Diceros bicornis minor: one gene and its partners. The protein of the gene in region 1 purifies or fractionates together with the protein of each later gene. This does not show direct contact. Links are inferred from orthologs where the notes say so. Each region holds a gene or a part of one and is shown in the gene's direction. Other genes may lie near its edges.

The links.
Region 2: the proteins of USE1 (region 1) and STX18 purify together in Homo sapiens (co-immunoprecipitation; 4 studies listed by BioGRID and IntAct, counting the BioPlex papers as one, with this or other methods). This does not show direct contact. The link is inferred for Diceros bicornis minor from reciprocal best matches to the Homo sapiens genes USE1 and STX18.
Region 3: the proteins of USE1 (region 1) and NAPA purify together in Homo sapiens (affinity purification with mass spectrometry; 3 studies listed by BioGRID and IntAct, counting the BioPlex papers as one, with this or other methods). This does not show direct contact. The link is inferred for Diceros bicornis minor from reciprocal best matches to the Homo sapiens genes USE1 and NAPA.
Region 4: the proteins of USE1 (region 1) and RINT1 purify together in Homo sapiens (co-immunoprecipitation; 3 studies listed by BioGRID and IntAct, counting the BioPlex papers as one, with this or other methods). This does not show direct contact. The link is inferred for Diceros bicornis minor from reciprocal best matches to the Homo sapiens genes USE1 and RINT1.

The regions. Positions count from the first base shown.
Region 1 is NC_080759.1:5,216,122-5,223,834, forward strand, and holds the start of USE1 (vesicle transport protein USE1), read left to right. Parts: upstream 1-4,704; 5' UTR 4,705-4,997; coding exon 4,998-5,099; intron 5,100-5,393; coding exon 5,394-5,443; intron 5,444-5,572; coding exon 5,573-5,651; intron 5,652-5,732; coding exon 5,733-5,885; intron 5,886-6,531; coding exon 6,532-6,544; intron 6,545-6,993; coding exon 6,994-7,021; intron 7,022-7,290; coding exon 7,291-7,465; intron 7,466-7,703; coding exon 7,704-7,713. Other genes in the region: MYO9B (unconventional myosin-IXb), read left to right, coding at 228-351, 782-829, 1,150-1,296, 1,932-2,055, 2,175-2,590.
Region 2 is NC_080747.1:6,965,642-6,973,145, forward strand, and holds the start of STX18 (syntaxin-18), read left to right. Parts: upstream 1-4,492; 5' UTR 4,493-4,535; coding exon 4,536-4,703; intron 4,704-7,504. UniProt on the Homo sapiens protein: Syntaxin that may be involved in targeting and fusion of Golgi-derived retrograde transport vesicles with the ER.
Region 3 is NC_080773.1:22,906,892-22,914,718, reverse strand, and holds the start of NAPA (alpha-soluble NSF attachment protein), read left to right. Parts: upstream 1-4,827; 5' UTR 4,828-4,956; coding exon 4,957-5,054; intron 5,055-7,827. UniProt on the Homo sapiens protein: Required for vesicular transport between the endoplasmic reticulum and the Golgi apparatus. Together with GNA12 promotes CDH5 localization to plasma membrane.
Region 4 is NC_080742.1:12,722,141-12,729,720, reverse strand, and holds the start of RINT1 (RAD50-interacting protein 1), read left to right. Parts: upstream 1-4,570; 5' UTR 4,571-4,680; coding exon 4,681-4,722; intron 4,723-5,169; coding exon 5,170-5,215; intron 5,216-7,580. UniProt on the Homo sapiens protein: Involved in regulation of membrane traffic between the Golgi and the endoplasmic reticulum (ER); the function is proposed to depend on its association in the NRZ complex which is believed to play a role in SNARE assembly at the ER.

The DNA.
Region 1 (7,713 bases):
TTGTTGAGGTAGGGACTCAAGCTCAGAGGTGGAGTGAGCTGCCTGAGGTCACACAATGAGTGAGAGGGGCCGAGACGGGAGCCACAGCCGTGTCCTTGGCCCTGCCTGGTCTCTAGATGGGTCTCTGCTCAGCCACTGCTCCCCAGTCTCCAGCTAGCGCCTCCCTGGATGCAGGGGCCCCTACACCCACTATCCCTGGGAGGGTAACTGAGTTGCCTTCTCCACAGGTGTGTGGAGATGCTGATCAAGGAGCAGATGAGGAAGTACAAGGTGAAGATGGAGGAGATCAACCAGCTGGAGGCAGCAGAGAGCATGGCGATCCGGAGACTCTCACTCCTGCGACAGAACACTGTGAGCATGTGGGCGGGACTCGGGGGTTGGGCGCGGTCTCCACCCCTCAGACTCCCCACACCCTTGGCCACAGGCAGCCTGGCCAGGGGCCTCAAGGCAGCAGGGTTAGAGGCCCATTCCCAGCCTCAGGCAAACGCCCCTCTCAGAGGGCAGCGGGCGACCTGTCACTCTCTTGGCAGTGGTTCGGGTCATTCTTCAGCTCCATCCCTTGCTGACCTGGGCCCCCGCCCACAAGGAAACGTTCCCACAGCAGAAGTGGCTCCACACTAGGGAGTGGGGGGTGGGGGAGCGGGTGGGGGCGGGTCCTGGGCTACTGTGGGAGGACCCTTATCTTTGTCCCTGCGGTCAGATGTGGCCCGGTGTCCTTGACGCACACCTTTGTCAGGGTCAGTGGCCCCCAGTGGTCACCCTCTGTTCATCTCTCCCCCAGCCATGGCCTCTCAAACTGGGGTTTTCGTCTCCCTATGAGGCGATGCTGGTATGTACACGCTTAGCAGCCGCCCTGCATGTCTCCCCCAGCGGTGCATGCTGGGGTTCCCCTTGGCCCAGGGCCCTTGTAGGATAGACCTAGTGTGTCCTGACCTTTCCGAAGTGCATGCTGGGGGAGGCCTGTGCCTGCTGACCACCTGTGTGAGAAGGACGACTAACCAGCAGAGCGCCGGCCACCCCCTCCCCGCGTGACCCTGGAGAAGCCTCACTAAGCCCACTGTCCACGTCAGAACTAATCTCCCAGGCCGCTCACACCGCCCTCTCTGCCAGCCCAGGGGGCCGGCCAGACCTGCTGCTTCTCTGTTGCAGAACAAGAGCCCCAAGGCCCGGGTGAGTAGCAGCGGCGGCCTGGAGGAGCTGGACGTGCTGCCAGAGGAGGAGGTGGCCGGTGGCGACGAGGACCGCGAGAAGGAGATGCTCATGGAGCGGATCCAGTCCATCAAGGAAGAGAAGCAAGTGTTCCTCCATCCCCTTCCAGCGCCCTCCACCACAGGGAGCCTGGCCCTTAGAGGCTGCCAGGCTAGGCTCCTCGCATCGTCCAGGACCCACTTCAACGGGTGCCGCTGTCCTGAAACCCCATGCTTGACCACAGGGAACCACGGTGACCCACACCGTGGGAGAGCTGAGGCGACAGAGGGGTGATGCCCAGACTTTGTCCAGAAGTTGGCCTTAGTTAGGGTGACTAATTTGTTGTCCAGTCAAGATGTGAAGGGGGGTGTTATTAAAAATGCTGCCAAGAGAATAGGAGTGACCCAGGCCGCCCCGTCACCCTAGTCTTAGGAACAGGGGAGGGCAATGCAGGTGGAGGGAAACACGTGCAAAGGTCCTGAGGCAGAAGCTCCTCACCAGCTCAGTCCTGGCCCAGGTGCCTGGCTTCCCTCAGCAGCCGGACACCTTCTTCCCGTCAGCTTCACAGGGCCGGGGTGATTTGGGCCAGGTGTGCTTTGGGGGTGGAAGTGGGGTGCTGGGGGCAGGGAGTACCATCCAGGACCAGGACGGCCTGCTCTGTACCCTACCAGCCTGGCACTTTCCGTGGGGTGGTCTTTCGCCATGGGAACAGCCTCGGACACTGTGACCTCCTCCCCAGGGAGGACATCACCTACCGGCTGCCGGAGCTGGACCCGCGGGGCTCCGATGAGGAGAACCTGGACTCGGAGACGTCGGCCAGCACCGAGAGCCTGTTGGAGGAGCGGGCTGGGCGGGGGGCCTCGGAAGGTCAGTATTAAGGTAGCGTCTGCTTTTTTCCTTCCCGTGTCCACCACCGCCGGCCCCGGGGCGAGGGACCATGTGGCGGCCCTGAAGCTGCAGTAACCCTGCCATCTGTCTCTCAAAAGGGCCCCCTGCGCCTGCTCTCCCCTGCCCCAGTGTACCCACCCCGAGCCCCCTCCCCACGGCGGCCGCCCCTCCGCGACGAAGGCCGTCGTCCTTCATGACGGTCAGAGTGAAGACGCCCCGGCGGACCCCCATCATGCCCACGGCGAACATCAAGCTCCCACCTGGCCTGCCCTCCCACCTTCCCAGCCGGGCGCCGGGGCCCCAGGAGGCTGCTGCCCCGGTGAGACGCCGAGAGCCACCCGCCCGCCGCCCGGACCAGGTACACTCTGTGTATATCACGCCCTGCGCTCACCTGCCCGCGAGGGGTGCTCAGGAGCCCGTGGACAAGGACGACCGGCCACCTGGGGCCAAGCGAAGGTACTCGGACCCTCCCACCTACTGCCTGCCCCCCACCTCGGGCCAGGCCAACGGCTGAGGGCCCACAGCCGTCTGTCCACATGTCCGAGGACAGCCCAGAGCCAGCATTCAGCTCGCCGAGAAGGATCCGGAATGAAAAGCTGCAAGAGCGATGTGGGGGGGAGCAACGGCTCCCAGTGCAGGGTCGAGGCCGGGAGAGGCCAGCTGAGGCTGGGCCGCCCTCGCTGAGCCTCCACGCTGCGCAATCGCGCCCACCCAGAGCACGGAATCACGGCGGGCCACCTAGCATCTCCCACCTCCCATTTTGTAATTTTTTACAGTAACTGTTTTTTTGTGCGTGGTTTACATAACTTTAAACTGTAACAGCCTTAACGGAAGACCAAATTGTTTTTTATATGTGTCTGTACGACCTTTTATATTAACGCGCTGCATCTCCTTTATAACCTGGACATCAGTCTTCAAAGCTAAGCCCACGCAGCCGCCACGCTTCAGAGGCTCAGCCCTGCGCTGGGAGCGCTCTGGGCGGTCCAGGGCCAGGACCCTGCACGAGGGGTTTAGACACTCGGGCCGCATGACCGCCTTTCTCTCTCTTGGACTCGTCCTCTGGCCGGGGTGCATTTGAGGGAGCGCCAGAGCCCTCCGTGGGGATCAAGGCTGTTGGCTGAGCCAGGACACAAAGCGGGGGGGAGCAGCCTCCACCCGGGGCACCACAGACCTCACGTCCCAGGGAGGCTCCAATGTGGCCGTCATCCTCTGCCCATCCTGGACTCCAGAGGCTGGAGGAGGGCACCCTTGGCACTGCCCCCACCCCCCCCACCTCCACCGTGTGGCAGAACAGGAGCCAGCGACTCAGGACCGCTCACCGGCGGGGAGGGCAAGGCCTGTGTTGTCCCCCTCAGGTCAACAGTGGCAGCCTGGGGATCTCCAGAGGGATGCCCTCAGGTTTGGCCCACTCCCCAGGACACATGTATCCCCTGGACACATGACCACAGGTCTGGGACAAGAGGCACCCAGAGCCGTGTGAAATAAAGACAAAGCGCCTGAGAGATTTGTGTGTGGCTCCTGCTCAAAACACTCCTGGTTGGAGGAGTGGGGCTTCGGTGGGGGCACCCTGCAGCCTCTGCCAAGAGGGGTGCAGGGCAGGGGGTTGTGCCCCTTGTCTGGAAGAACCTGCCTTGATCCTCAGCAAATGCTGCTGTTGGGATCTCCCACGTGCTCCTCACCTGGGCAGGTGGGCTTGTGGAGGTGCTTGACCTGGACATCTGGGGAGAGGGCAGCTCCTGCAGAGTGGCATTCAGTGAGGGGAGCCTGCTGTCCTGGGGGCTGCCTCCTGTCGCCCTGTTTCAGCACCAGCCTCTCCTCAGCTGGGGCGTAAGCGTCAGGTGCAGGGCCATGGGCCAGGGGGGGAGTCTGTTCCTGGTGGGCCGGCAGAGCCAGAGGCCCCCACACATCAGCCGCAGATGAGCTCCCAGGCTGCGATCAGATGGGCAGGTGGGGGACGTGGCTCGCGGGTGGGGCCTGTGAGGGTGGGGTCAGGGGACCGTGAAGAACTTGAGTCCAGACGGCACATGCCAGAGGGTTGGGGGCTTGTCCAAGACCACACAGGTGCGGTGGGGTGGGGCTGGGGTTCAGACCCTGCCCATCTGCCTCTGGAGCCCCCTTTATCCATCCTGGGTTTGGCCTCCTCCGTGGTACTTTGCGAGGACATTAGGCACACCAGTGTGACCAGGACACCGGTGACCTGAGGGCTGCATGCCAGGCTCCGATCCCGTGAAGCCTCCATCCTCACCGCGTCCACTCCAGGAGCGGGGCTCGTGGGACTGGCCTCGGCTTCCTGGGCACCTGGGTGGGCTGGAACTGGCTTCTCTTCACGGGGGTCTGAACGTTAGGGGTGACCCGGCCCCGCCTCCTGCTCGCAGGGCTAGTTCGTGTGCCCCTTGAGACAGGCACTGTCCCACTCCCCATTCCCCAAGGGAGGAAACAGGCCCAGAAACAGCGGGGGACGGAGTCTGGCGCCCGGAAGCTCACAACCGCAGAAGATTGGATGGGCCCCTAAGCCAGCCCAGGGCCTCTCCCCCGGAAGAAGTCGGGGAAGGCTGGCCGGATGCGCAAAACCTCAGTGTGGGAAGAATCCAGGCAGCAGTGGATGTGGGGGAGGCACTTTGAGCAGGGGGAAAGGAATGAGCAAAGGACACGTTGTACGTGGGCCTGAAACCGCAGGACCTGGTCCTTTCAACCATTCCTGAGGGTTAAGATGCTCTGGAGGAAAAGCAGGCGATTCAGCCCTGAGTAACTATGGACGAGGATGGCGCCTCTCCTTGAAATAAAATATTATTGCCACCCCAAAGAAAGATGGAACGGCGAGCGAGCTGAGCTCATCCAACCGGAAGGAAGCCAAATGAAGGCACTTCCGCCATCTCTTAAGATGGCGCCGGCGGAAGGGGCGAGGTAGCACCGTGGGGGTGATGGCAGCGTCGAGGCTGGAGCTCAACTTGGTGCGGCTGCTGTGCCGCTGCGAGGCGATGGCAGCGGAGAAGAGGGACCCGGACGAGTGGCGTCTGGAGAAGGTGGGAGAAGCCCGCGGGGCAGCGTAGAGCCTGACTCCGGGACAGTGGGCCCGGAGCTGGCGGCCACCGGTTCCGACTCCCCTGCCCCAACAGCCACCCTGGCCACGCCCCTTCCGGTCGGCGCCGCTACGTCCACCTGCAGCTCCCGTCTCTGGGGTTCCGCTGGCCGCGCCTCCTTGACGCTTGGCCCCTCCCACTTCCGAGCCCCGCCCCTTGCTGGCTCTGGCCCCTTTGAGCAGGATGGGAAGAAGTGGGGGTGTGGGACCGGGCTGACGCTGCGCTGTCTCTCCCCAGTACGTGGGAGCCCTCGAGGACATGCTGCAGGCCTTGAAAGCCCAGGCGAGGTGAGTGCCGGCGGCCACTGGGGTTTCAAATCCGGGGTCGGGGTAGAGCCCTGGGCTCCGGTTCCTGCTGGACCCTTCCCTGAACTGGGACCGTGGGCAGGTTTTCTTTGTCCTCTTCTCGCCTTCTAGCAAACCGGTCTCCGAGGTGATCAATGAGTATGCCCGCAAGGTGGATTTTCTGAAGGGGATGCTGCAGGCAGAGAAGCTGGTGAGCGGGGACGGCCGCCTCCTCAGCCCTCCTCACCCCCAGGACCTGCCCCTCTGGTGACCCCTCATCCCTCTTCTTCAGACCTCCTCCTCCGACAAGGCACTAGCCAACCAGTTCCTGGCTCCTGGCCGCGTGCCCACCACAGCCCGGGAGCGGATACCTGCCACGAAGACAGTGCATCTGCAGTCACGGGCCCGGTACACCAGCGAGATGCGGGATGAGCTGCTGGGTGCGGTAGGACACTCTCCTGGTCCCTGAGGGCCCTTTGGTCAGCGACAGGAGTTCAGGGCCTGGGGCTGGCCAGAACAACAAATACTGTCAGGTGCAGGGACCCTAAGGAGCCCAATAGCCTCCGCCCTGGGCCATCAGGGCTTGATAAATGAACAGGAGTCGGGTACAAGGCAAAAATGACGTGTCCGGTTACGACGAGTGTTTTCATCTGTAAAACAGGATAAGTGTCTTTCTGAGCACTTTACGTGGATCAGGTAAACCCTTCACAACAGGAGCTGTTGGACCAGCCCGGTGGCTTAGCGGTTAAGTGCTCGCGCTCTGCTACTGGCAGCCCGGGTTCGGATCCCGGGCGCACACCAACGTACCGCTTCTCCTGCCATGCTGAGGCCGCGTCCCACATACAGCAACTAGGAGGATGTGCAACTATGACATACAACTATCTACTGGGGCTTTGGGGGACAAAATAAATAAATAAATAAAATTATACAACAGGAGCTGTTGTTACCGATTTATAGACTAAAAAACAGGCTCAGAGGTCATGAGACTTCCCCAGGGCTCTGACTATGGGTGGGGAGTGTCTGAGAGCAGAAAGGACAGGTTTAGGGGCATGACAAAGTGGGTGACTTCACGCTCTCCCTTTTTGCCACAGGACTCTTCTGGAGGTGAGTCGGCCTGAGCAGAACAGGACTTGAGGCCCAGCTGCCTGGGACCAGACATGTGTCCTTGCTGCCCCCATCCCTGGTGCCTGGCCTCACTCCCACAGCCCAGGCAGAGTGTCCCTGGGGGTGTTACTGAGTTATGCCTAGAGGGGGGGCTAGGACAGAGGAGGTGGCCCCCAGAGGAAGCAAAGCTGGAAACTCCCAGCCCACGGGCCAAAGTTAGGCTGCAGGGAGGGACCTGGGGCCGGGGGAGCCCAGCTGGGGGTGAGGAGAACCCCCTAGAAGAGAGCGCGTTTGAGCTCGAGCTTTGAGGCATGGTCAGGAGCCCAGCAGGCAGCAGACAGGACTGGAAAGGGCATTGTGAGTGGCAGGCCTGTGACGGGCAGTGGCCAGGAGGCTGGTCAACAGGAAACCAACCCGCTCTCGTTTCTGCCGGGCCTGTTTCCCTGCAGAGCCCGAGCTGGACGTGCGGAAGAGAAGGTGAGTGTCCTCTGCCCTTGGGCAGCACTGGGGGCCGGGGGGCTGGACGAGCCTTGGGCCCCTGAGGCGCCACCATGAGCATCTAAACCGCCCATCAGAAGCCACTTCTGGGGGTGCTGTTCCCAGAAGCCAGAGCAAAGAAGGGGTAACTGAGCCCCAAGCAGGGCAGTGGCCGGAGCTATAGCCTCTGGGCTCCCTGGGAACGTGTTGGTCTCTTCCCCTCCCCCACCCCACCTCGTGCCCACCTGCCCACCCATGTGTGGGGTCAGTGGGGTGGCAGGGCCCAGGCCAGGAAATGAAAAGCAGTCGGCGGCCGAGTTAGACCTCATCCTGCAGCGACACCAGGACCTCCAGGAGAAGCTGGCAGAGGAGATGCTAGGCCTGGCCCGGAGCCTCAAGACCAACACACTGGCCGCCCAGAGTGTCATCAAGAAGGACAACCAGGTGTGAGGAGTGTGGGAGCTTTGCAGCCTCTGTCCTGGGGCATCAGAGAAGGTTTCCCAGCAGAGGGGCATTGTGGCTGGGGCTTGGCTGGCTGGAGTTTGGTAGAAAGCAAGAATGGCATTCTCAGCAGAGGAAACAGCACCAACAAGGGCCGAGAGGTGCAGACTTGCTGCAGGGTGGTAGGGAGAGGCCACACTTGGCCCCAGTCCTGTTGATGCTCTCCCCACCTCACCTGCAGACCCTGTCGC
Region 2 (7,504 bases), on another chromosome or scaffold:
TAATTCCATCTGCCAAGATCCTTTCTCCAAATAATATAACATTCAAGGGTTCTAAGAATCAGCATGTGGACCTATCTTTTGAGGGGCAACATTTAGCTCCCCTGGGTGGGAGAAGATAGAAAGAAGCATGAAATAGGCCAGTAGGTCAGGATGAGGGGCTCAGAACCCAAGCCAAGAATCAAGTAAGAATGAAGAATGTGGTGACTCCTCTTCTATGTACTTGGGTGGCAGTGGAGGGACAAAGGCGGCACCTGGAAGGATGGGGCCTCGACAACCTTCTGTGTTTGCCTCTTGCCTTTCCCCGCTTCTTCTGCACATCCGTTTCAAAACTAAGCTCCTAGGAGAAATCCACTCTGATTTTTTAAATATTTATTTTATTGTGGTAAGAATACAACACGAGATCTACTCTCTTAACACATTTTTAAGCGTACAATACAGTATTTTATCTATAGGCATGATGTTGGGCAGCAGATCTCTAGAACTTATTCACCTTGTATAACTGAAACTTTACACCTGCTAATCAGCAACTCCCCATTTCTCCCTCCCCCCAGCCCCTGGCAACCACTATTCTAGTCTCTCCTATGAGTTTGACTATTTTAGAAACTTCATATAGGTGGAATCCTGCAGTATATGTCCTTCTGTGAATGGCTTCTTTCACTTAGCGTAATGTCCTCAAGGTTCATCCATCTCGTTGCATAGTGGATTTCCTTTTTTAAAGGCTGAATAATATTCCATTGTACGTATATACCACATTTTTTTGATCCGTTCATCCATCAGTGGACATTGAGGTTGCTTCCATGTCTGGGCTATTGTGAATAATGCTGCTATGACGGTGGAAGTGCGGCTATCTCTTTGAGATCCTGATTTCAACTCTTTTGGATAAATACCCAGAAGTGGGGTTGCTGGATCATATGGTAGTTCTATTTTTAATTTTCTGAGGAATTTCCATACTGTTTTCCATAGTGACTGCACCATTCTGCATTCCCAACAACAGTTTACAAGGGTTCCAATTTCTCCATCACCCTGATTTCTTTAGCTAGTTTCCTTCTTAGGAGCAAAAGTTGATTCTTTGAGCTTCCTGTCCCTAGAGTCACGGTCCTTTTTAGAGCCCCTGAGAAAAAAAATTTTTTTGATGAATTTCTTTCAGGCCACTTCCTACAGTGAAAGTACATGTTCTCCAAGTCCTCCCCTCTTGCACCGTGAATTCTGCCATGGCATGGCCAGGCTTGCAGGGTTTCTATTATTCTAACACTCCCAACCAGGTCTTTTCTATTGGTTAGATCTAGGTGTAATCTAACTGTTCCTTCCTCTCCATCCTTTACCTACTGAGAGATGACACTGTAGTGATGGTAAGTGAAGAATGCACCCAAAAGTCTTGTTTTGGCAGATATCTGGATATGCGTTGTATCAATCAGGATATGCTAATTACGTTGCAGTAACAAACAACCACAAGTCTCCATGGACCACAAGAGCAAAGGTTCATCTCTCACTGCCAGCACACGTCCTTAGTTGGCTGTGCTCCACGTCATCTTTACTCAGGGACCCAGGCTGGTAGCACATTGGAACATTATGGGTTGCTATGGCAGAGGGAAAAGAGAGCATGGTGAACCACATGTTAGCTCTTAAATTTGCTGCCCCGAACCAACACACATTACTTTTCTCAGCTAAAAGGAATCACCTAGCCAAGTTAGTCATCTATAGGTCAACGAACTATAATCCTCCCCCAAGGAGGGGCCATGAGTACCAGTGAACGATAAAACAGACTATCACAGAGGGTCTCTAGTTACTGTATTATTGTGGCAAATCTATGATTCCATGGACCCAGAAAACTGTGGTCTCCCCATTCTGCCCTGCAAGAATTCACATTTCCAGGCACTGGACACCCTCCATGCAGCAAATACCTGCTTACGCCAACTTTCGCCAGTTGGTACGGCTATAAAACCAACCCCTCTAAAGGATGCCACAATGACAAAGTCTGACGACAGCAGAAGTCTATTTCTCACAGCACATGTCTGTCATGGGTTGGTCATCTGGATGTGCAGCATACCCTCTTTTTGATGGAGGCTGCATTTAATGACTTCTGTGAGAGTCCCCAAATAATTCTGAGCTGCCTACATTTATCTTGATTGTATGGAAGGTGCGGTTATAGGGAGCTATATTCAGGAATTCCAACATGCATTACTGTTTTTCAAGAGAAGAGCGCCTGGCCTAATGAATGAAACATTATTACCAATGAAACATAATTTCTGTACTACATCAAACTTGGTAGTTTGTAGTATACTCCCGTGACACTTCTGTTCTTGCTTTTCATCCACATCCCCTCTCAGCTTTATGGGATTTCAAATAGTTACTAGTCCAGTGTCAACTTGTTGCTTTGCTCTTTGAGGTTAAAAGAGAGAGAGAAAAACAGTGAAATCTCATACCCCACGATCTATGGGAAGTCCAATGGCCTCCTCAAGATCTTTGTGACTCTTCTAGGACTTTTATGTACGTGCGGTCACTTGTGCCTTTACAGCTTGATGTTTTGAGTTTACTTGGGTCTCATCTCCACAATCTTCTCTGCTTTTACAGATCCAGACAGAAAACTTACACTTTTTTCCCCAACCTTTTACACAAAAAAACTAACCGCACCAAACGCACTACCCACACAAGGCATTACTCACTGAAGGTTTGGTGTAGCTCAGCCACCCCCTCAAAACTCTTCCCAAAGAACTACTCTCTCCTTTCTTGAACCCCCTCCCTGGGCTCTGGTTTCCCCCTCCTCCCCCTAATTCAATCCTGTTCACTTTATTATGCAGAGCAATTTAACTCTCTTTCCTTCAACTCTGCCCCAGGCTTACCTATGCATAGCTAAAGACCCATTAATGTCTCCATAAAACAAAGGACCATTTATGCGAGACAGAATCCTGGGCAGAGATTTTCTAATTTCTTTTTCGTTTTCTCCCTCTTACTCTGTAGGCAGAAGAAAGCTGTATGGAAATTTATTTTCCTCATACAGGAAGGCTGAAGTGGCTACAGCTGGGTTTTAAATAACATTTTTCTCTCTTCTTTTCAGGTACATGTGTACTTTCTTGACATCTATTTCTGATAAACTTATTTCTTGAACACAGTGGGTCTCAAATTTTGGTCTCAGAACTCCTTTATACTCAAAAGTTATTAAGGGCCCTAAACAACTTCGGTTTATATGGTTTTATGTATCAATATTTACCATATTACAAATTAAAACAAAAATTTAAAATACTCATTCCTTTAAAAACAAAAATAAATCCATTACATAGTAACATAAATGGTATCTTTCTGTGAAAAAATACATTTCCAAAACAAAACAATTTAGTGAGAGCTGCATTGTTTTACGTTTTTGCAAATCTCTTTAAAGTCTGGCTTAATAGAAGACAGCCATTCTGCATTCAGTGTTTTGCAATGTGACAAGGCACACAGCCTCTGGGACACTCAACTGTACACAACTCCTGAGAGAGAGAGTGAAAAGGCAAGTAACATTTTAGGATTATGAAGAGTTTCTATCTTGCCGACCACGCTTTGACAACCACTGTTTTAATACATATTCCAGCGGTGCACCCACTATCAAAAAAACAAACGATGAAATCAATGAGATCTTGAATTAAATCTGAACCTTGAACCAAAACGTACAAAGGACTCACTGGCTACCCTGCAGTCAACTTAAATAACTACCACTTAAGATGGTATATTTAAAAACTATACATCAAGGATGAACAGAAATTCCGCCATTGTCTCCATCTGATAAATTCCTGGTCAGCCTTCAAATCTGCCTTCTCTAGAGTGAGTCTTCTCTATGGAACCCTTCCCCACCATAATTACGAGGACAACAATGTTATTAACAACAGGTATCTAACTTTTATTGGTCACCAGGAGCCAAGCAAAGCCAAAACACTTCACGCGTGTTATCTCATTTAACTCTCAATAATTCTCAGGAAGGTACCGGCTTCGGGGGGCTGAAAGGTGAAAATGAAAGGCCTCCGGTCTCCAGCTCTGTGCCATGCACACCTGCTTGTCCTAGCACGCATTGCATCTAGATGTCACGGTCCACGAACTCCGTCCCGCACAAGGTGCGTCCTTGAGGTCAAAGGTCATGCTGAGTCGCCTCCGGCCACCCGCGGCCGGCTCGCTCCGTGCGGGAGTCTCGAGAAGGGGTCAGCTTCCTGGTCCTCTCGCTCCCGCGGCCCACACGCCCTACACCGGCCCGCGGGGGCGGGGGGTTCGTGGACCTGCCCGCGCGGCCAAGCCCGCAGAGGTGGGGGGTTGGGGGAGAAGGGGCGCGGCTGTGCGCGCCGCGAGGTCCGGGCGCCGCGGGGGTCCGCCACGCGCGTGCGCTGAGGCCGGAACCTTTCTGCTCTGGCCGCGGTAGCCCGGCGGAGGCCGGAACCTTTCTTCTCGCGTCGCGGTTGGCGTGCGGAGGCGTGCGGAGCCGGAACGGTCCGCCGGGGGCCGGGCTCGCGCCGCGGTCGCCGGCTGCTGACGTAGGCCGGCCGGGTCGGGGCCCGTGAGTGCGGGTCGTCATGGCGGTGGACATCACTCTGCTGTTCCGGGCCAGCGTCAAGACCGTGAAGACGCGAAACAAAGCGCTGGGAGTGGCGGTGGGCGGCGGGGCTGACGGCAGCCGCGACGAGCTGTTCCGCCGGAGCCCGCGGCCCAAGGGCGACTTCTCCAGCCGGGCGCGCGAAGTGGTGAGCGGGTTGCTATGGAGACGGCGGGCCGGAGCGGGGGGCGGCCGGACCCCGTCCCGTGCGCGTTGTGTGAAGGCCGCCTGGACTGAAGCGGGGCCCGGAGAGCTGGTCCGGGGGGCCGACAGCTGTCCCGGAAAGGGCGCAGCCTTGTCTCGGGGACTGGGGACGCGCGGTGGGGAGCGCGGAAGTGTGTGGGCAGAGCTCACGCGCTGCTGCGGAGCTGCTGAGCTCGCCGTCGCTGCAGACCTGAACGCCAGCGAAACGCCCCCGCGTTCCTCTGCTTTCCTGTCGCGGCCCTGACCGCGGCGTACTTGCCTCTCCTGTTTACTGGTCTCGGCCCTCTCCCCTTCCCCCGCGTGGAGATCACATGTTGTGTCCAGCTGACCTCTCCCGTCCCCTCGCCTCCTGCAGCAGGTTAGGGCTCATGTTGGGGATCAGTGCGTCTTGAGACTGGTTAAGGATAATCTTTCACAAACACTCCATGTTAGCGTCATCTAAACTACTTCTGTGCCTTGAACACAGCAGGCTTTCGTTCAGGGGAGCAGGAACCTTTTCCTTAAGGGCAGAAACAGTGTTGGCTTCACGTCAGAAGCCCCAGTGCCCGACTCCGACTCATGGCGTTGCTTAGTAAATGTTTGTTGAATGAATGAATGAACAAATGGTTGTCTGTCTTCCCCACTAAACGGGAAACTCTGTAAAGGGAGAGAGAAAATGTTTGCCTCGTTCACTTTTGTATCCTTGGCACCAAGGGTGGATCTAGTTTTTGTGGAGCTTGAAGCTTATGCAGTTCTGCCTGTCCTCTTTAAGAAATGAAAATACAGAATCACAAAGGTTTAGAGCTTTGGGAGGTGTAAACCCTGAAGCTTAAACTTCATTAATTTCGTGGTAAATCCCCTTAAGTTTGGCACACAGTCCAGAGCCTGATACTTTGTAGACACTGAGATATTTTTTAATGAGTGTATGTATGCGTGAATTAACAAGTGGCAGTTTGCAGAGGATATTCAAGCATCAGAAGGGGGACTGGGCCAGATGAATACATTCAGTCCATCAATAAGCATCTGTTAAGCAAGCACCTATTTTTTGACCAGCACTGTGTTAGAATAACATGATTTAAAGGGAATGGTGGGGGAGACCGAGTAACAAAACAAGCACCATACAGCCTTGTAGATGCTGTGTAGGCACAGAGGAGAATGTGGCCAATTCTGCTGGAGGGCCGAGAGAGGCGATAATGTCTGAAACAAATCTCTAAAGAGGAGTAGTTGGTTCCAGTGCAGACAGGGTGGAGAAGGGCGCCTCGGGCTAAGAGAAGAGTATGCACACAAAGATGTGGAAATAGGTCATTTTCATGCTCAATTTAGCTGAATTTATATATACTCAATGTGTGTCTACCCATTAAAGTACCAACAAATTAGACAGTAATGACATTGCAGATTTTTTTGGAGGAACTTGTTATGTGAGCTACTCCAAATGAGGATGAATGTGCCGCTTCGCAGTGTTAATGAATTGGTTGGATAAGCATTTGAGTGTGGCTGATTTGGGGGACACTCAGGAAAACTGGACTGGAGTGGTAGGCAGGGGAAATCTTGAAGGGCCTTGTTTATCACAGTGTGGAGTTTGGACTTTGCCCTGGAGGCAGTCAGATGTTATGTGGTAGAGAGAGCGCTAGAGAAGGGGTGAAGACACCAGGTTGTTGTCTTAACCCTGCGATGATTAGCCATGATCTTATGAAGCAGGTTTTATGGCCTTAGTTTATTTACCCGGCAATAGTCTCCTCCTTTTTTTCCCCCTTAAAAAGCAGAAGACTTTTAAAAAAAACTGCTATGATCTCCGATATATAGCAGATCAAGGTTCTCAGGTTGAAATGAGAGGGAGGGAAACTGGGACTTCTCTGTGCGCCTCCCTCGAGTCTGGCCCAGGCTGTTCCTGAGGTTCCTCCTTTGGAATTGTGGTATGAAGATCACAGTTTTGGTTTTTGGAGGGCCTTTTCTAACCCTGAAATCACTGATTTATTAACACTGTGCTAATTTTGGGTCCTGCTCAGGGATAGGGGCTCTGGGAGTGGCCGAGACGAGAAGCATCGTTGGATTGGCCAGCAGTGAGGAGAGAGCCCTGTGATCACTTAGGCCCCAGGCCTCTCCCTGAGTAGTGAGATGGTACTTTAGGCCTTTGGGTTAATAGGCCTCAGGGACAGTAACAGGACCCTGGGGTGCTGAGTTCCCTGTCACTGGAGGTAATTAAACAGCGGGATGACTGCTCGTCAGAGATGTTTGAGAATAACTCTGTGCTTTTGTCAGAGGGTTAGATGCATGTCACTGAAAGTTCCAGTTCTGGTATTTATTGATGTGGGTAGGTGTTAAGGCTTGGGGAGTCTATTAAGTAGGGACATGGGCTGTGTTGTTCAGGGCCACTGCCCTTCCTGACATAGGGAACACATGCCTTCTTTTGAGGAATTTTGATTTTATGTTGCAATTGCTTTATGTAGTACCTCCTGTTCTTGCAACCATTTCTCTCTCTCATGGAAAGTGTAACTAGTATAGAGCTAGTGAGGGGTGTCCTTTGCTCTTAACCACAGTCAGATGTGTCAGAAGTCTGGCTGTTGTTTTGTTTGGCCTGAATTCCTTATACATAAAAGTCTGGTCATACTAGGAACACATATTCTGGTTCAAGTTGAGCCCTGGTTGTCAGACTTAAGGAAATGTAGCAAGTTATAGTAATGCCTTTTCTTGAATGCCTTCCTTGAAGCATTTATTATCATTTCTAAGATACGTATTACCTAGTTCAATTCCAGTTCTTCTCATTCC
Region 3 (7,827 bases), on another chromosome or scaffold:
TGTCAGCTGGTGCCGGAGGCTTCATCCTCTTTAGGCTAATAGTCTCTCCCCTTCTTTTAATTCCACTCCTCCCACAGCAGGGAGGCTCAGGGAGGGAACAAGTTAGATCCAGGTAGCTCTTAAATCTCAGCCTCAGTTTGGGGGTTTGGTTACATTTGTTAGATAAGGCCAAGACGTAGAGAATCACTGGGAAAATACCTTCAGATCTCCGACCTGTTGGGTCCCCTTCAGCCGGGGAGTCTCTCTGCATTCCGGATTCCGTCCCTGGTCTTGCAGTGACTTGTACATTGTTAGGTTTTTTGTACGTGTCGACTTGTAAATCTTATTAAATTGGGTTCTTGAGCAGCTGTCTTCTGGCTTCCCTGGCCCGTTGATCCAGCAGAGGCTTTTGAGCGCCTGCCGCTCGCTGGAACCACAGAGAGTAGGCCGAGTCCTGCCCTGAAGGAGCTGGGGGCCATTCGTTCATTCAGCAAGTGCCTGCTGTTGGACGTGCTGGACGGTGCCCAATCCACGTGACCGGGACACAGTGACGACAGAGAGACAAAGCCCCTGTCCTCACGGAGCTTGCATTTTGGGGCTGGGAAGGTAGCAGTAATAAATACAGCGAGAAGGTGATTTTAGACACTGATCGTGGCTATGCTTTTGGCCACCAGTAACAGAAGAGTCAGCGCAGGTTTAAGCAATCAGGACGTCTGGTGGGCAGCGGCTCAGCCAGGAAATCAAGGCCTCCCAGCAGCGGCCAGCCTCAGTGTGTTGGCTGCGGCAGCAGCAAGAATCCCTCCTCCCTCACCAGCATCCGAACCTTGGGAGTGCAGGGAGGAGAGCACGTCCCTCCCTTCCTTGTGCCCCTCTTTAAGAATGAGGAAAGCCTGTAGCAGCCGCCAGCAGAAGGCCCCTCAGGTCTTACCAGCCAGAACCGTAAGCCATGCTGTTTCTAAACTGATCCCCAGCAGTGAGGAGGGAGATGGCCACAGCTACCCTAGACATTCAAGATTTGCCTCCACAGGGCTGGCCCAGTGGCATAGTGGTTAAGTTCGCACGCTCCGCTTCGGCAGCCTGGGGTTCACAGGTTCGGATCCCAGGCGCAGACCTATGCACCGCTCATCAAGCCATGCTGTGGCGGTGCCCCGTATACAAAGTAGAGGAAGATGGGCACAGATGTTAGCTCAGGGACCATCCTCCTCAAGCAAAAAGAGGAGGATTGGCAACGGATGTTAGCTCAGGACCAATCTTCCCCACCAAAAAAATAAATAAAAATAAAAAGAGGAACCCTGATGAAATAAAAATATTAAAAAAAAAGATTTGTCTTCAGGACTAGGAAAAAGCCATGTGCTCCCTCAAGTTTGATGCCACCTGGTCAAAACTGTCATTCCGTTTGCCAGGAAGAGAAGAGGAGGCAGGAATGGCTCCTGGGGAGGCAGACCTTGTGACTGCCACAACGTGATGTGAAGAAAGTAAAGCAGGGCGCCGAGTCCCAGGGAGTGAGCAGAGAGTGGCAGCTGGTGTTAGGTGGACGGCCAGGGAAGGAGATCTGGGTTCCAGGCCACGGCACGGCACAGTGCCAGCTCTGCCGAGGGGACTAGCAGAGGGTGTTAGAGAACTGGCTGGCTGCTGTGTGGAGGTTGTAGGAGGCAAGATTACTGGCCTGGAGGGTAGATAGAAGGCTTTAAGGTAAGGTGCTGGTGGCCTGGGGTAGCAATGAAGAGGGACGGAAATGCGAGGATGAGAGATGCATCTTAGAAGCAGACTCGGACTTGTTGACGGGTCACACGTCACGGGGAGAGGTGGTAAGGAAAAGGACGGGTCAAGGTTGGCCTGGTAGATTTGGGTCTGAGCCGCTGAGTAGATGCCATCACCTCAGGTGGGGAAGAGAGACAGTCAGAGGATTGGTTGCACCCAGGTGTGACCGCGTCTGTAATAGTGCATGCTGTGTTCTGACAGACTGGCGGGGGAGCGGGGAGAGGGTAGTGTCAGGAGCTTTCACAGAGGGGCCACACTTAGCTCAGTAAATCTTGAAGATCGGGAGGGGGGAGGGGCAGGGGAGGAAGCAGAGTTTGAAGCAGTTGGGGCATTGCGGTTAAGAGAAAGGGCTCAGGCATCAGATGAACCAGAATTTACATTCTGGTGCCTCTTCCTTCTTTGTGACCTTGGGCAAGTCACTTTCCCTGTTTGAGCTTCAGTTTTCTCCTTCTGTAAAATGGGGTGGAAAATGCTCACCCCCCACGTATCTGTGGAATGAGAAAACGTAAATTACGTGTTTGGCAGGGTGCACCATATGAATGTAGCAGCTACTGTGTGATGAGCGCTCATGCTATCGCTGTTATTGTTTAGGTCCCACCCTGCATAACAGGTTAAGCTTGATGACTCTGGAAAGGAAAGACTCTGGCTTAAAGGGTTCAGCGGTATATTAGTTTATTGCCGCATAACAAATTACCCTGAAATTTAACAGCTTAAAACAAACAGAAGCTTTTATAATAGTGCTGCTTAGAGGGACACGGAACTGAAACTGCTTGTGGTGATCCAGACTCACCCCCAACCTGATCTGTGGTCGGAATACAGTGGCAACCACAAGTGGGTGGTCCAGGAGAGTCTCTGAATGTAAGAAGAGAGTTGGGGGAAGGTTTCTTGTGAATTACCCCCCCTCAGCCCGCCCCCGCTCCCATCCCCAGATACAGCGTTTTCTCAACTGGTGTTCCCGGAATTATCTGCATCCTAGTCATCTGGGGGTCCTGTTAAAAAAAGCTCATATACCATACCCAGTCCCTGACACGGACTATTATAATCAGAATCATTGAGGGTAGGGCCCTAGAACTGGAAGTTTTTTAAAGAAGCTTTCTTAGAATAGTTTTCAGATTTACAGAAAAATTGGGAAGATGATAGAATTCCCATATACCCTGCACCCAGTTTCCCCTACTATTAACATCTTACATTAGTATGGTACATTTGTTACAACTAATGAACCAATATTGATACATTATTATTAACTAAAGTCCATGTTTTATTAACATTTCCTTAGTTTTTACCTAATGCCCCTCTTCTGTTCCAGGATCCCACCTAGGACACCATATTACATTTGGTAGTGATGTCTCCTTAGGCTCCTCTTGGCTGTGACAGTTCCTCAGACTTTACCTGTTTTGGATGACTTTTAAGGAGTCCTGGTCAGATATCTTGAAGAATGTGTCTCGTGTGGGATTTGTCTGATATTTTTCCCATGATTAAGCTGGGAGGAAGACCGCAGAGGTGAAGTGCCCTTTTCACCACATGTTGTTGAGGGTTCACACTATCAACGTGACTCACCACGCTGACATTATCCTCAGTCAAGGGCTGACAGTGTTCATCAGGTTTCTTCACCGTAAACTTGGTCCCCACCCCCCTCCCTTCCCATACTGTACTGGGTGGAAGGAAATCACTGTGCACAGGCCACACTTAGCACACATGAAGAGCTATGCTCCACCTTTTTTGTGTGTGTGTGAGGAAGATCAGCCCTGAGCTAACATCCATGCCAATCCTCCTCTTTTTCTTGAGGAAGACCTGCCCTGAGCAACATCTATTGCCAATCCTCCTCCTTTTTCTCCCCAAGGCCCCAGTAGATAGTTGTACGTCATAGTTGCACATCCTTCTAGTTGCTGTATGTGGGACGCGGCCTCAGCATGGCTGGAGAAGCGGTGCGTAGGTGCGCACCCGGGATCCGAACCCCGGGCTGCCAGTAGCAGAGCACGCGCACTTAACCGCTAAGCCACGGGGCGGGGCAGGCCCAGCTCCACCTTCTTGAAGGTGTATTTACATAAACTATTTGGAATTCTTCTGCACAGAATATTTGTGTATTCTCTCTCATTTATTTATTCATTTATATCAGCATGGGCTCATGGGTATTTTATACACTGGGTTATAATCCAATACTACTTTATTTTGTTGGTCAAATTGTTCCAGCTTTGGCCATTGGGAGCTCTTTCAGTTGGCTCCTGTGTCTCTCTGACATACCTCGTCGTGTGTGTGTGAGAGTGAGAGAGCGCTCACACGCGACGCTTTCTTTCTGGCGCTACAAGATGCTCCAGGCTCATCTTGTGTAATTTCCTGCCCAGTCCTAGAACCAGCCATTTATCCAAGGAGCCCTGGTTCCTTTTATTGGAGAAGGGTATTAAAAACTAAGATGTGGGCACTAGGCATGCTCAAACCTGAATTTTTAACAGGCTCTCTCCAGCTATTTTTTCATGAAACCACAGTTGGAGAACCTCCGCTCTCCGTTTTGTTCCCGTCTCTCAAGTATTTCACTGGCTTTCCCAAGCCAGTTTCAGCCTCCGCCGGCAGAGGGCGCCAGAAAAGGCAGAACGGTTTCCTTCCTACCACAGAGGCCTTCCCAAGAGAAGAAGGACGCGCGACCAGGAGCCGGGGCGGGGACTAAACGCTGCGCCAGAGAACTGTCAAACCCAGGCGGGGCGTGTTTCCCGGCAGGGGCCGGGCACTGTCACGTGAGGGCCAGCGGTCAGCTGACTAGATCCCAAGTTCTCCGCAGAGGTACGACGCGACCCAGGGCTGCTGTTGATTGGTGGAGGAGGATCCAGAAAACTAGCACTTCGGGGCGGGACCTTGACGATGGGGACTACCATTGGCTTATGCAGAGCCACGTGGGCAGTCGTACGCTGCACCGGGAAGAGAGTGGGGCGCCCTATGCGGACGTGTGCGCATGCGTCAAAGCCCGGGGTCGCCGATTGGAGGCCGTGAGTCACGGGGCGGCGTGCAGTGGCCGGTGGGGGCGGGGCCGGCGGGGCGCGCGCCGAGCTGCGAGGCCGCTGGTTGGCCAGCGCGAGCCACGTGGTCCGGGGCAGCTGGGGGTGCGCGGCGGTGCGACGTCAACGCAGCCCTGTGAGCTCCCCCGACCCGTCTCTGCGACCCGGCGACGGCGGAGTCCTCGGAGGGCCGTGCCCGGGCGGGTTGCTGAGCACTCCTGCGGCCGCCATGGACAACTCCGGGAAGGAGGCGGAGGCGATGGCGCTGCTGGCCGAGGCGGAGCGCAAAGTGAAGAACTCGCAGTCCTTCTTCTCGGGCCTCTTCGGGTGAGAGCCGCGCGGAGGGGCGGCCGGGAGCGAGGCTGAGAGGACGAAGGAGTCGTGGCCTAGAGGCGGCCGGGTCGGGACGAGGGCATGCCGGGGCCTGGTGACAGGGTCTAAGGCCGCGGAGGGGACGCAGGCTGAGGGCCGGGCTGTGGCGACACGGTGTGAGGAGAGACGGTCTGGGATGGCGGAAGGGCCTTGGGCTGAGGATACCCGGGCCGAGGCGACACCATCTTGGGACGGAAAGGGGACCCAGGCTGAAGACGGGCCAAGGGGCCAGAGGACTGTGAGGCCTGGGCGGGGACCCGGCCTGAGGGCTTGAGGGAGCCTAGGGGAGCAGCCGGGTCGCCTTTGGAGCTCTGGAGAGCCTGTCTGAAGGGTCCCAGACGGCCGTGGTGGGGCCGGGGACTGGGGACACCTGCCCCAGGGATCGGCCTTCCCAAGGCCTGGGGCGGGGGGTTTGGGTGAACTCGGGGTGGTTGGGTGAGGGGATCCTGGGGGGTGGGAGGTGCCCGGGACGAGTGGGGCCCTGGGTGGTGGTGATGGTGTAAGAGGACCTGACAGTCGTGTGAGAGCTGAGCAGAAGAATGAATCCCCCGGGGTGACGGAGTTACTACCGAGGAGGCCCGGGCTACGGGGCTGGAGACTGATGTGGAGTAGGGGGATGAGTGAAGCCGGCTTGGTTTAGGAAATGGAGAGAGAAAGAGGAGAGATGAGGGAGAGGGAAAGCCAAAGGAGTGGAAAGCTTTTTGTGTAAGGATGGAGTAGGGATGGGGCGTGTGCGCGGGATGACTGGTGTGCTGAGAGGGGGGCCTGAGCGGGGCTGGGAGACAGAACGAGCGCCTGCAGTCTGGTAGACATTTCCCATCAGACTCACATTAGCCTGTAAACTAGTTCTGATGACCGTCCTCCGAGGAATTTTAGTGGCTTAGGAGTGTCAGAAGCCTGGGTTTGAAGTGTGGCTCTGTCACTGACTTCATGCCCTTGGGTAAGTTGTTTGATTTCCCTGTTAAAGGGGATCACTAGTAAAACCTATGTCAGGTATTTGCTGCTAGTATTGAGTAAGAGTGCACATAAAGCGCTTAGAACTGAGCCTGGCACATGGTTAACGCCCTGAGAGTCTTAGCTGTCATCAGCGTCGCTTCCAGGAAGGCAGCGGGTGTGGAGCCTGTACGCTTCTGGTGGGGATCAGGGTGGGAGCCCAGGGGGATGTCTGAGAGGGGTCAGAGGAGGGAGAGACTGAGTGGGAGGAGGAAGGGGGAGCTGACAGGTTGTGGGAAAGGGACTCTGGGCCATGGGGACTTAGCAGAGTTGGGGGAAGGGGCTTGAGGCTCGGGGCGGAGGGAGAAGAGGGGAAGAAGGGAGGACTGGAGGGGGTTGTGTTGCTTTGGGGCTGGGAGGAGAACTGGAGAGGGAGTGGTGGGTCTGTAGAGAGTTAGGAAGAACTGTGGTGGAGGTGGGCAGGGAGTCTGGCGACAGAGAGAGGCAGAGACTGGGGAAGGCTGCGGCCTGGGAGAATCTGCCAGAAGGCTAGGGAAGGGGTCTGGGAGGAGGGCCTGAGGATACGGAGAGACAGTGTTAGGAGATTGGTGAGAAATGAAGAAGGTTCTTTCCAGGAGAGGAGACGGAGCAGCCTGTTATTTGATGTTGGATGATGTTTAGCAAAAGAACTTGAATAACAAGGCTGAGAGTTATCTGGTCTGGAGAGGCATCCGGGGCTCATGGATTGTATTGATTAGGTGGGGAGTGTTTTATTTTAGAGGCTGAGAGTGGAGAGAGGGTATGTGTGTGTTTCCTCTTCCCTCACAAGGGGAGAAGTTCAAGTGCAGTGTTTTGGGGTGGGGCCGAGAGCTCAGTTTTCCGTGATAGTTTCCCTGGGTGGTTTTTGGTGTCGGGTCCCTTTGGACTGGGAATTAGTGTCCTGTTGGTCAGTGGCTGGAGGGAGCAGCTAAGTCAGCCCGCGAGACACATGCCATCTGGTTGGGAAGGCAAGAGTAACACTTGCCAAACGCTAGTAAAGCAAAATTGTAAGGTAACTAAGGCTTAGATTATATCATGTGTGTGAAGTTCCTGAGTTGAGAGGAAGCGGCCTGAACTGGAGGAAGGCTCTTAGGAGCGAGCTGGGCCCCGAGGAACCCTAAAACTAGCAAGTCCTAGTCCTGTGGAGTGGGGGCCTGGGAGAGAGTGCTCGGCAGCGGGAATTGTGCGAACAGAGGTGTAGCGTGAGGGGAGGTTCTACCCGGAATGATGGGGAACCGAGATCCAGATGGACCAGGGATGGCTCCCCAGAGGAGAGGCCTCCATCTGGGAGCATGAACAGGGGTTCTGGGGGTGCCCTCTGGTGGGGAGCGCTTCTCTGGGCAGAAGGGCCAGCTTGAGCAAGGCCCAGATGCATGAAGCTCAGTGTGTGCACGCTTCACACGGGGAGTTCCGTGTCAGCACGTAGTTAGAACAGGCAGAAGGAGGAGGTGACGCTGAACAGGGATGAGGCCCAGTCTCGAGAAAGGGCTTGCACGTGAGGAGGTGGTAGAGAGCATTGAGGATATTAATGGGGATCTGTCTTAGTCTGTTCAGGCAGCTATAACAAAATACCGTAGACTGGGTGGCTTATAAACAACAGAAGTTTATTTGTCACAGTTTTGGAGGCTGGGACGTGCAAGGTCATGCTGCCGGGTAGATTTGGTGTCTGGTGAGAGCCCACTTCCTCATAGATAGCTGGCTTTTCACTGTGTCCTTGCTTTGTGGAAGAGGTGAACTAGCTCTCTGGGGTCTCTTT
Region 4 (7,580 bases), on another chromosome or scaffold:
AAAGTATCTTCTTGAGGGCTGTCCCTGTGGCATAGTGGTTAAGTCAGCCATGCTCCACTTTGGCGGTCTGGGTTCGTGGGTTCGGATCCCAGGCACAGACCTACACCACTCATCAAGCCATGCCGTGGTGTGACGACCAACATACAAAATAGAGGGATATGGGCACAGATGTTAGCTCAGGGCTAATTTTCCTCTCACACACACAAAAAAATACAGAAATGTTCAAAGCCTCTTCCCCATTCCAACTCCTTCTGATAGACATCTAACAGTTTAATGTTACGAGGCTGGCCCAGTGGCGTAGTGGTTAAGTTCGCATGCTCTGCTTTGGCAGCCCGGGGTTCGCTGGTTCGAGTCTCAGGTGTGGACCGACACACTGCTTGTCAAGCCATGCTGTGGCAGGTGTCCCACATATAAAAGAGAGGAAGATGGGCACAGATGCTAGCCCAGGGCCAATCCTCATCACCCCCCCAAAAAAAAATACATCCTAACATGTATATCATGTATAATATTCTGGATCTTGCTTTTAACTCCACACCAGCACTATGGATTGCTATGTGCCCAGCACACACAATTTATCTCTTGTTTCGTCCATATTACTGCCTAGTATTCCATCCATCTTAGATGCCTCTCTCCTCTCGCCAGAGAGTAACTATTTTCTGTGCTCCCTCAGTCATTGCAAACATTTCCATTGTTGAACCTACTGCACTTGAAGCCAGGTACCTGAGGGTTACTGTAAATATTCCATAAGAACATGTTCCCAACATGTTCCGACCTCGTTCCCAATACAGCCACAGATGAAAAGAAGTTAATAAATAACCTTAGTCTCCACTAGATGTATTTATGGAGTCCAAATGCTTGCTCCATGGCATGCACGTAATTATAGCTTGCTAACTTGCTGTTTTCTTGTCTAACCAAAGGGGTGACTCAAGGGTCATGAGAATTTATGAGCTTATTTTGCAGAAGTAAAAGAATGCCTTTAAGGAATTCACGACCACCAGATGACCAGACCCCAGCTGCCGGTGACACCAAGAAGTCTGGTTGCTCAAGGTCTTATCTGAAGTGAAAGAAACACAGACTTCCTCTTTGTTTCCCTGAAAATCCTCCTTGCCAGCCCCTTAGCCCTGTAAAGATCCCCTGTTTTCTTCTTTTGTTAAGGCAGATCTGAGAGAACTTGCTTTCCTGCCTTCTTGTTTTGGCCAATTCCAATAAGCCTGTCTCTATCTCCAAGGACTGGTGTCTCAGTGATTGGCTTTTCCTGTGCACTGGGCACAGGGACCTGAGATTAAGAGGTTTGGTGTCACACTCAATCTTAAATTATTTATTTTCATGTCTAATTCCTTTACCAGGGAGTGAAATCTTCAGAAGCAAAAATTTGAGTCTAGAGCAATCTTTTTACTTCTTTAATTTTAGTTTTTATTTTAATCAGAGTTATACACGTCTATGATTTAGAGTCAAACAATTCTGTAGAAACCTTGTAAGTTTTGCAATGAAACAGCAGAGACTGTATCTCCACTCTTCCCCTTACCTGTTTCCCCCTCCTCAAAGGCAGTCATTTCACCTCTTTCAATGGTTATTTTGATATTTACCTTCATTTCTCTATATAAAATGTTTGTATTGCTATTTCTTCATTTTTCACTTTTAGGCATTGCCTATTGACTTCACCTAATGGAAAATGAGGATTTAGCTCTTCTTCCTTCTCCCATCTGTTCCCCCACCCCCACCACACTTCCCATCCCTTTATCTGCCCGATATAGTTATATTGTACTTTTTTAAAAAATAGATTTGTGTTTACTTCATTATGACTAGGTAAACATTGCTCACATCTTGGGCAAAATAGTATACTATGATTACTTCTCTTCTGCTCAGCTTTTTGTTTTTCCTGTAGTTAATGATTATCTTATTTTGGCTTACTATTCATCACTAAGCCAAGCTCAAACTTCTTTATGATCATTTAAATCTCTCCCTCCAGAGATTTAGATAGATAGGTGTTCTATCAGTTTCATCTTTCTGAAGGAGTCTCTTCTGGAACCTTCTAACCTACACCAGTTGATGTCTAGTGCACAGTTGTTGTCAGGGTATCATACTTCATTTTTCTCCCGTGTTGTATCTTCTGTTTCCTATAGCCTGTGTTTTCTACTTTCTTTGTTTAGTCCCTCATTTTAATGGAGCACAACTTCCAGTAGCTTCCTGAGAAAGAAGCAAATGAAAGGGAAATTTTTTGAAATCTTGAATGTCTGAACATACATTTATTCTTTACCCACACTTCATTGGTAGTTTACTAATCAAGTACAGAATTCTAGTTTGAAATAAATTTCCTTTTGAAATTGTATAGAATTGCTCCCATGTCTTTCAGCTTTCTTTGTGACTGCTGAAAAACTGAAAGATATGCTGATTCTTGATCCTTTGTTAGTGATCTGTTTTTCTCTCTGGAAGCTTCAGGTTTCTTTTTGTCCCCAGTGTTCTGTAATTTCACAATGATGAGCCTTTGGGGTGAGTCGACTTTTTTTTTTTTTTTTTTTTTTTTTGTGAGGAGATCAGCCCTGAGCTAACATCCGCCAATCCTCCTCTTTTTTTGCTGAGGAAGACGGCCCTGGGCTAACATCTGTGCCCATCCTCCTCCACTTTACATGGGACGCCGCCACAGCATGGCTTACCAAGCAGTGCGTCGGTGCGCGCCCGGGATCCGAACCAGCGAACCCCGGGCCGCCGCAGCGGAGCGCGCGCACTCAACCGCTTGCGCCACCGGGCCGGCCCCTGGGGTGAGTCGACTTTTATCCATTGTGCTGCAGACTCAGTGGGCCCTCTCAGTCTGGAAACTTAGGGCTTTTAGTTTAGGGAAATTTCCTTGAATTGTTTTGTTGATGCTCACTCCTTCCCTAACCCCTGTTGTTTTTTTCTTATGGAATTCTTATTTTTCAGATTTTGGACTCCCTGGAGTGGTCCTCTAATTTATTATTGTTCTTTTCCTGTTTTCCATTTTTTTGTCCTTTTGATTTTTTTCCCTAGGATATTTCCCAACATTTATCTTCGAACATTTTCATTGAATTTTTCATTTCGGATATCATATATTTTGTCTCTGAACACTCCTTTTTAAATACAGTAGTAGTATCCTGGGGCTGGCCTGGTGGCATAGTAGTTAAGTTGGTGTGCTCCACTTTGGAGGTCCAGGGTTCACAGGTTTGGATCCTGGGTGTGGACCTACATGCCACTCGTCAAGCCATTCTGTGGCAGGGTCCCAAATACAAAATAGAGGAAGATTAGCACAGACGTTAGCTCAGGGTCAATCTTCCTCACAAATAAATAAATAAATTACAGTAGTATCCTCTTATTATTTTATGGTTGCAATGGTATTTCATATCTCAGGATATTGATTTTATATATATATAGTCAATCTACAAAAACAGAAACCAGTTTAAGAGGCAAAGCATTTATTTGGGATCAAAGAATTGCAATTTGGGAGCACAGATTCAGGTAGAAACTCAAACAGTGTCCTGATTATAGAAGAGGGCTTAGGGTTTTTATGGGAAAAAGGGAGGAAAGGTGAGTTGTATTAAAGAAGAGTTCATTGGTGCTAGATAAGATAAGGCTGGGTTTGTACTTCATAGATTGGCCTGAGGTTCAATCATCAGACAAAACGCTAAACTTGTACTTCATTGATTGGTTAGCGATTTAGGCACCAGCAAAGTCCAGTTCCACCAGTTCTTACAGACAAGGTATCCTTGTCCTTACAGACTTCTTTGGAATGTTGGTGGTTTGGTCCAGTTCTGAAGATAAAAGAAAACAAGCCATGCAAGGCAATTCCTCTGAAATGGCTGCTCTGGCTCTGTTTTAATATGGCTCCACTCATGTCATCTTGCACAATGCACACACAAGTTTTCTCCCCACTGAACGGTTTCTGTTTCTTCTAAGGGTTGCCCCCACCCCCGCTACTTGATTTAGTCTCTATGGTATCTCCTTTCGCGTTTGTTTTTGAAGTTGTCAAATCCCTGGGTGCTCTACCTACCCCTTGCTGGCTGCCAGGTAACTCTATTCCTTCTCCCTGGCAAAGAACAGGTGTTTTGGGGTCTCTGCACTGTGCAAAGTGCCTCTTAGATGCCGAGTCCTTTTCCTCGATTCAGCTCCCAGAACGGTTACAACCAGATCTGGACCCTCCACGCAGGCAATTGGAGGGTCATCTCTAGTTGAATCTGATAAGCCTTAAAAGAATGATCCAAAGATAACGACATTGGAAATTCCCCAAGTAAACAGCCCGACCAAATTACATTAAAGCTGATCAACAAGCCCCCTCACACTCTCAGAACGTCTGGGATATCATCTAAAATACAAATGAAATGATTCATATTGAATTTCTGGTGTGGAAGGACAGATACCTTCAAGCTCCATCATTAAGGGCCCCAACGAGGAGAAGTATGTTTCACCGAGGTTGAGAAGGATCGCCCCCCTCTTCCGGAGCGGCCGACGTCCCCCGGCCGGCAGGGGGAGCCACCGCGCACGGCCAGCGGCGGCGCGGGCAGGGCCTTTCTGGGAGGAGAGGAAGAAACGAGAGAGACGGCGAGAGGAAGTCGCGGTGGCACTCAGCTCCGCAGTCTCCGAGGCGGAGCTGGTGCTGGTCGCTGGCGGGAGCTGGACCACGCAGCCACGCTGGCTGCGCATGGAGCCGAGGACTCTCGCAGAGGCGGGATGCTCCCGCCCGGCGAGATCGGCGAGGCGTCGGCAACCCCGGTGAGGCGGCGCTGGTGGCCCGGGGAGGGGACACTGGTGGCCCAGTGAGGTGGCACATCTCCTAGGGGAGACTCTCTTGGTGAGGTGACCCTGGCACCTGGGGACGTGGTTCCCGTGGCCCGGGGGAGGTGGCCCTTGCAATCCTGGTGAGGTGGCACAGACCTCCCAGGGGAGGTAGTCCCTATGCAGTGGCTCCGGCGACCCCGGTGAGATGACACAGATCTCTGTGGGGAGGTGGCCCTGGCGGACGGGCAGGATGGCAGTGGTGGCCCCAGAGAGGTGGCCCGTTTTAGAACCTGCGTCAGACGGCCGTGGCCCTTCACGAAGGCCCCAGGGGAAGGGGCCTGGGACCTCGCAGTCCTCCAGTGGATGCCCTCTGGGAGCCCTGTATGAGTTCCATCTACCACTTCAGTCTTAATGTGTTTGTCACGCCTCTTCTGCTTCTAGTGCTGCTCTGAAAGTGGTGAGGAAAGGAAAAACGTCGAGGAGAAAAGTAAGCGACCCCAAACACCTTAGTGCTTTGTACCCAGCCATCTCGCCAAAACTCAGCCTTCCAGGGTCTGCATCCGAGAAGAGTCTTAGCCTGTTATCTTTTAGATGAAGTATCTTTTTTCTCTACAATATGCTTGCATTTACTGATTATCATTATACACATATTTTTGTCTTTCTAAAATGATAAACTATGGGATGATTTGGAGAAGAGCACTTCCTGACTCCTGCCCTGTGCAAGAACTAGTGTGGTTTTACTGGAGTTCTGCCTGTCAGACTGGCTTCAAAACAATTGGAGCCTGCCGGTTATTTTAATGAAGCAACAATTTATTAAGCATCAGGATTTGGAGGGGCTAATGATCTAGGAGAGATGACTGCCTCCTTAATTGGGTTCAAAGAAGTCAAATGATAGTTGTTTAGTTGTACTTTACCTTCAGTGAATTTGCAATTAAAGGTTGATCTGGCAAAATCGTCCCATTTGCAACAACATGGATGGGCCTGGAGCATATTATGTTAAGTGAAATAAGCCAGAAAGAGAAAGACAAACACTGTATGATCTCACTCATATGTGAAATATAAACCAACACATGGACAGAGAAAACTGGACTGTGGTTACCAGGGGCAGTGGGGGTCGGGGGTGGGGGGTGGGCACAAGGGGTGAAGGGAGTCATGTATATGGTGATGGACAAACAAAAATGTACAACCCAAAATTTCACAATGTTAGAAACCATTAAAACATCAATAAAAAAAAAAATATATATATATATTAAAAAAAAAAAAAGTTGATCTGGGAAGAGCACAGAGGATAGCTTGGATCCTGGGTCTTGGACTGGACAAGGCAGAGGGGAAAGGTCAGTACCTCCAATTCCTGCCTAGGACAGGAGCGTATGTCAGAGATGTGGACATTTGTCATTTTACTTTAATAAGCTAGGCATGGCAGGCTTTTGGAAATCAAGGAATCTTCAGGGGCTTTTGAAGTGAAATTTATTGGGGGAGGAAGGGGAAAAGCATGTAACAGCTATGCCATCAGAGGGTTATGGGATCTGCTGAACGTGACAAATAGTCTGGGAATGAGTAGTGGTAAGAGAAGGGTGTCTACATTACCATATTGGATTTAGGAGTTGGGCTTGCCCCTCACGTTGTCTACTGATACCATCGGCCTCAGAGAGAAAGCTCTGAGTAGTCCACAGTACTTGACAGTCGTAGCTGCCACAGTTCAGCTCCTTTTCCTTGGAGGATTTGAGAGTACCCCATATCTTTCAGTGAAACCCCTCCCTTTTCCACCTTTACCTTGTTCAGATGCTCAGAGAGTTGATGCCTACTGAGCTGTCATTTTAGTAAAATCATAGATGCAGACTGTAGACTTTGTCCTTGTCCTTCCTTTAGTGGCTTGTTCAACTTCTTTGCAACTAGGAGTGCTCTTTACAAATAATAGAGAAAAAGAGAGACATAAAAACATCCTAAAACACCAGTGTGTCATTTTGAAGAATGTCATTTGATAAGGGTTATATCAAAAGAGTATAATTAAAAATAAAAGTGAACATAGAATTTACTCCCTAAGCTACAGCAACCTTAGCATTCACAAAACATTCCTTCTGCACATAGCCCTGTTTCTGTGTATCTGCAGGTGCACCACACAACTCATTTTATTTAAGATAAATAAATAAAGACATTGTGACTCCGGTGCATAATAGTAGATGGATTTCTGTATCAATGAAGTTTGATGCAGACCAGCCAATTCTGCTCATATTTGAAGGAGAAGAAAATAAGAATATTGGGTTGAGAGTCAGGGAAACATGGATTTTAGTCCCATTTACAACCTTTAAATGTAGGCTGGGCAAATGTTATAGTTTATAGTTGGGAAGTTGAGGCATAGACTTATGCTAGTTTTGCTTCTACCTACTGGTGGGCTACTAGTTCTTATATGAACAAGCTTTTAATTCTTATAAGTTGACTAGAACAAAGGAAAATTTGTTGTTTAGGGGTTGAGGAAGAGGAACATACCCAGTATTAAACACACTGGTATATATTCTATTAATTTTTACGTAAAGAATTGAACAATATTTGATAGTTACATTTTGCATTTAGGCATATCTCTATTTAGATAGTCATATTTTCATTTTAGCATAAGTGACAGTTGTTTTAAACAGTTTTATTTATTTATTTATTTTTTTGTGAGGAAGATCAGCCCTGAGCTAACATCTGTGCTAATCCTCTTCTTTTTGCTGAGGAAGACCAGCTCAGAGCTAACATCTATTGCCAATCCTCCTCTTTTTTTTTTCCCCAAAGCCCCAGTAGATAGTTGTATGTCATAGTTGCACATCCTTCTAGTTGCTGTATGTGGGACGCGGCCTCAGCATGGCCGGAGA